Linked DNA regions of Kluyveromyces lactis. The protein of the gene in region 2 purifies or fractionates together with the protein of the main gene of each other region. This does not show direct contact. Links are inferred from orthologs where the notes say so. Each region holds a gene or a part of one and is shown on either strand. Other genes may lie near its edges. The genes, in order: RET3 and SEC28.

Region 1 (2,687 bases), on a different chromosome or scaffold from region 2:
TGAAAGAGAGAAGCAAAAAAAACTTGAAGAGATGGAAAGAGCCGAAAAGAGGGAGTTTAAAAAGCGGATACGTAAAAACCAAGAGCAAACTCGCATCTTGCAGTTTAACAAATCAGAAAAGGTCGAAGTTGATATTCCAAAATTTTTGAATCAATTGAAAACCGGTATTTCCAAAGATGATAAAATAGCTGACGTTATCCCTGTCTATGCCCCCTGGGCTGCTTTAACTAAAAATAAGTATAAAGTCAAAATACAGCCTGGCACTGCAAAGAAGAGCAAATCTATTAATGAAACTCTACATTACTTCTTGAATAGAACTGTCGACAGTTCGGAGTACGATAAAGACTTAGATTGGCCAAGAGAACATGAAACAATAAAGCTAATCAAAACTTTGGATGTCGTTCCTATTATTTGTTCTGATAAATTGAAGATTTCCATCCCAGGTGGAAACGACAAAGCATCCTCAGGCAGATCACATAAATCAAAGCAATCAATGGCGAAAGGTAAGAAGTCTAAAAAATGATGACAAAAAATATCAAGCAAATTCTTATCATTCAGAGATATGTTTGACCAATCGAATAGTTTTCACGCTGTCATATTAAAATCAACTAATTAGCATATAAAGTGAAAGTACTGTATTTCATATTTATATTTATCTTAGTTTCATCTTTATTAGAAGAGGCAAAGACATTCACACAGTATTTACATATCGATGGTAAACATATGTGTCTGATTATAAAAGAAATCTGGAAAATGAGGAGAAGCTTACAAGCCCTGCTGTAATCTTTCAGCCAATTTACTCTTGGCAAAGCCCCACGCGCTTAGCAAACCCTTTTCATTCAATTCTATATTCAATGGGATATCCTTTGAAGGCGGTTTCGTCACTCTAGAGGCAATTGTGGCTGGATCAGTTTCTAAGATAATACCATCATCAATCAATTCATCAATTGCTAGAACCACCATGTCATAATGTTCCTGAACACTCCTCTTGTCAATACCTGTATCCAATATCAATTCTAGGGAATCTTTGAACCCGTTGAATGCTTCTTGCAAAACAATTTCGTTTTCGTCGATTGCACCGATCAGATATATCGAAACATCGACATATTCTCTGTAAATAACTAATAGATCGTCTGATATCATAATGTCTGAATTCTGCCCATGAGTTTTAGCAAATAGGTTAGATTCGAACTCTTTTTGCTTCTTTAAGCTGGATGCAAGAGAATCTGCAGAAATTTCTTCGTGTGGTGGATGGAAGTATTTCGAGTAAAGTCTTCTTCCTTCTCCATCCAAAATCAACACAGCTTTAACTGTGTATAGAGATAAGTTAACCATGTTGTTTATGTTTTTCTTCTTGGTTACTTCCAGGGTATGCTATTCGTGTTATTCAGTACTGATGCAATGGTTTACTGTCTCAGGAGGGAAGTGCTGGTTTGGCGGTACGCGAAAATTCCAAATTTGCAGTTGACAAGATATAGGACAAATAGGAACTGCGCTCGAGAGAGGCAGAATTCAGCTCTCAACCATTGCCCATTCCTGTAATTAGAATCAGTAGCCTTCTTTGGATGTCTTGTAAAGCTGTCCATGTAAAAAGCTCCATGGCAATGAAAGCCTGTTGATATCATTGAATACGGATTTATGCTCCAGTAACGCCAAACAGCAAGTGTTTGATCGAATCTCTTATCACGTGATTTGTTTCCGGGTAATGGAAAACACAGAAGGAACTTGTAACTTTTACTGTCTGATAAGTAGGTTAGCCATGCAAATACTATACATTAACGAAAACTGTCTATTGTGGGGTTCGTTCGATGCAGAATGCAACCAGTACTGAGCTTCGAGGACACTGATTGATTTACTAAGCAGTATTTACTTTGATTTATTTATCATAAGTTAAATACCGGCCAATTGCAAAGACTTTGCAGTATTTTGTATATTCTACGCTCTAAGCATTGAGCAAGCAAAGTGTTATTGCTTTACTCAGCTCCTCACAATTATGACCACTGATGAAAGTTTTTACTTTTCGCTGCTGCGAATTTCAATGATACACCTTTTAAGGGCACATGGCTTCGATAGAGCCAAAATGGGGACAGTTAATCTTTTTACTGATTTATATGTGAGATATCTAGAACTGATGATTCAAGAAATACGGAAACTTACTCTGGATCGCCGTGATTTAGATGAAGAAGTGTCCCTTCAAGATATTACCCAAGGAATGCTCAATATCGGCGTATTTAAACCAATGAACCTACTGGATGTTTACGATGAAAACCCGTCCGTGGCAGGCGATGAAGGTATGCAACAGTTTAAAAGATGGTTACTTCAAGATCCCGCAACAACAGAAGCACGAGTTATCAGTACCCCAAGTCCAGACCTGTTGAAAGTTGGTGATAAAACTAGTAAACCATTGTCAATGATTCCGGAGTATATCAACCAGCTGAATACATCGGACAAAAAGCCTAACGATGGAGATGATGAGACAGAATTGGTGGAAGCAATGATAAACAACGGGGATATGGATGACTGGATACAATTCATGTTGACATCACAAAAATTAGAACTTGCGAAGAGGAAGTCGGGGAAACTTCCTCAAGATCTCATTTCGTTACCGTCAATTCCTGGATTAAAATACTCTAAACTAAGCCGAAGTCGACCTATCATTACCAATTCATGCATTCCAGTTGGAATCG
Region 2 (3,015 bases):
TAGATGTTGCATAATCCAACTCTGATGAAATATCCCACAAATAACCATTATAGAAGGAATAAGAATGTATCTTCATCAAATAGACCAATGAATGTAAAAATAAAAATATTTGGGCGATCCAGTTGAAATGGAAGGTCTTTTTTGGTAAGTAGATATTGGAGAATAGAAATACCACCTCATAAACTGAAATAATATCTCTCCCTGTACGTCTCCAACTGATGACATTTTTTCTGCACAAATATTGTATGACGAATGCAAAATAACTAGTCAGGTACATTGCGATATCATATAACGCAACTTTCCAAAGATTCATGGTCATGTATCGCAAGATAATTGACTGTGAAAAATCACCATGTTCCTCGTAATATTGTAATGTCACTTTGCAGATGGTGAACGCAACTGCCATCCAAAATAAGACATAGAATCCAGAAAAGTCTGTTGCTATAGTTTCATTTGCAATTTCAATAGTATTATTGTCATCTATCCTCACCGTATTTGATCTGGCTGTTGCCTTTACTCTAGAATATTTCTCGTCTATTGCTGGCCCATTGAAATGAGATCTAAGCGGATTGTTGACCATCTCATCCATGATACTACCTCTAGAGCCCCAGTCTACATCTCGTGTCATGGACTGCATTTCATTCGTATCCTTCTTATATCTGTTCTTTTCCTTCACCTTCAATTTCTGCATGAAAACATGCAGATGTTTGTCGCCTTGTTCGGAGGTGGTTCTAGTCTTAAAGATAACCGTGTCGTTAGGCTGGACCGTGTTGAAAAGAACGTCCGGAGATCCAAGTTCATCGAGAACAGCATCCTCCAACTGTTCCTCATGCAAAGACTTCCTCTTCCCATGGTTGTTGTCGTTCAGCCTTCTTATCCTCAAGAACTGCTCATCCTCAGTTATATCCTTAACGGTGGTATCATGTGAACTGTCACTTGAACCGGACATTATGACAGGTTTTTAATTAAAGATCCAGTTAAATAAATCTTTTATGATATATTAACGTGGATTGACTCTTCACCATGAAATTAGTCTGAGATAAATCTAGGCCAAGTCGTGATTCGTCTTAAGAAGGAAAAAATTCTTGCTAACCTCTCTCTCTCACTCAGACGTTTTAAATATAAATCTCAAATCCGGAATTAACCAATGGTCGTAAGAAGTGTACTGTTAATTACTGAATCTGTTTCCTTTTCCAACCCGTATCGTTTAAACGTCCAAAGTAACTGGCTCTGAATTTCTTCTGATAAATACTCTCAATCCCTTAAATAAACGCCATATGGTGATCCACACCTTCGAGAATTATTCGAGAAAGGAAAAATACAAAAAAAAAGATCACGTGAATGAAAAACATCCATTACCCTGATCCTGTCAGTTTTTCAGTTTTGGACAATTCGCATGGTGGATCAAAGTAAGATAGCATATGGACTCTCAATATTAAAGGATACGTGTGAGATAGACCCGTTAATGAGCCAGTAAAGTCGCTTTCAATACACGATAACGGTTAATTGAAGTTTTCCGACGTCAGATTTGTTGAGAAAAAAATATCAACTCAGAAGAAATGGACTATTTTACTGTAAAACAGCAGTTTTATACTGGTAACTATGAAGAAGCGTTGAACGAAGTTTCTAAGTTTAACAAAACTGAAGATGAGGCGTTGACTTACTACAGAAATAGATCATTGATTGCATTGTCCCAGTTCAGTGAGGGTAGTGCTGATTCTGGCTCACTTGGGCCTGTATTTGAGGCTTACTATAAATTTTTAAGCAAACCTACAGGCTCAATCACTGCACTAGAACAAACCGTTGAAAAGGCGGGCAGATCTCCATTTGCATTGAACTTATTAGCAAGTGCATTGACTATAAAGGGCGAGTTTAAAACTGCTTTGGAGGTTGCCGTTGAAGGAATTGACTCCGATGAAACAAGAGGAACCCCGGAACTACTGTTAACGGCCATCCAAATAACTTTGTTGGATAATCAACCAACCATTGCCTCGACTATGTTTGAAAATTTCCAAGCACTTCAGGAGCAATCGAACGACGATGAAATAATTTTGAATCTTGCAGAGTCATACATCAACTTCAACCAGGGTAAAGAGATCACTGGATCCAATTTCTATTTCTTTGAAGAGTTGTCTCAAACTTTCCCAAGTTGGAAGACTCAATTAGGCCTATTGAATTTACACCTCCAACAATCGCATTTGCCTGAATCCAAAGCAATCATCGACCTCTTAGAAAGCGAGTTCTACGATATCAAACAAGAAGCACAAACGTACAAGCCTGATCTACTTGCAAATAAGATTACGTACACCATCTTATCTGGTGGAAATGCAAACGAATTGAGATCGGAATTGCAACAATTGAAACCATCTCACCCACTATGTGTTGCCGACCTTGAAAATAACAAGACTTTCGATCAAATTGTGGCAAAGTACACAGCCTAAATCTATATATATCAAATAGATCTTGAGTAGCAAATAGTATTGGTATTGGCGATACTTTCCGGGTAACATTGTTCTTTTTCCCATCAATTTCGTGGGAACTGTCAAGATAAAGCGGATTGATCAAACATCCTATACAATGTGAAGGGTTAGTTTTGAAACCAGTCACTCGGTATCGTTTTACAAGGCACCTGCGTTGTATTTAGTTCGAATATTCAGGGGAGTTGATCTTCTTATTTTGATTGTCGATCTAATTCTACTTTAGTTTCCCCCGAATTGAGCTGTAATTCACACAGAATTTGGAGTTTACAAGATGGCTACTGAATTGTCTGATGCTGAGAAACGTAAATTGTTGAGGGAAAGAAGGCAACAGAAGTTTTCCAACGGAGGTGCTTCCAGCAGGTTGAACAAGATCACTGGTCAACAGCAGAATAGCTTTTTGTCTTCAACATCTGTTCTTGATGAGCCAAAAGTTACTCCGTCAGGTAACAAGAAATCATCCAATGTGAGTGACGAAGAAGTTGAAAAGTCTACCAAAGAGATTCAAGATTTACTTTCTAGTATTCCCGGTAACAAG

The links.
Region 1: the proteins of SEC28 (region 2) and RET3 purify together in Saccharomyces cerevisiae (affinity purification with mass spectrometry, with the first as the bait; 3 studies listed by BioGRID). This does not show direct contact. The link is inferred for Kluyveromyces lactis from reciprocal best matches to the Saccharomyces cerevisiae genes SEC28 and RET3.

What each region holds. Positions count from the first base shown.
Region 1 is NC_006042.1:2,524,981-2,527,667, reverse strand, and holds RET3 (coatomer subunit zeta), read right to left. Parts: upstream 1,336-2,687; coding exon 766-1,335; downstream 1-765. Other genes in the region: RQC2 (Rqc2p), read left to right, coding at 1-523; TAF3 (Taf3p), read left to right, coding at 1,994-2,687. UniProt on the Saccharomyces cerevisiae protein: The coatomer is a cytosolic protein complex that binds to dilysine motifs and reversibly associates with Golgi non-clathrin-coated vesicles, which further mediate biosynthetic protein transport from the ER, via the Golgi up to the trans Golgi network.
Region 2 is NC_006039.1:798,261-801,275, forward strand, and holds SEC28 (coatomer subunit epsilon), read left to right. Parts: upstream 1-1,559; coding exon 1,560-2,441; downstream 2,442-3,015. Other genes in the region: ARE2 (sterol acyltransferase), read right to left, coding at 1-949; GET complex subunit GET2, read left to right, coding at 2,752-3,015. UniProt on the Saccharomyces cerevisiae protein: The coatomer is a cytosolic protein complex that binds to dilysine motifs and reversibly associates with Golgi non-clathrin-coated vesicles, which further mediate biosynthetic protein transport from the ER, via the Golgi up to the trans Golgi network.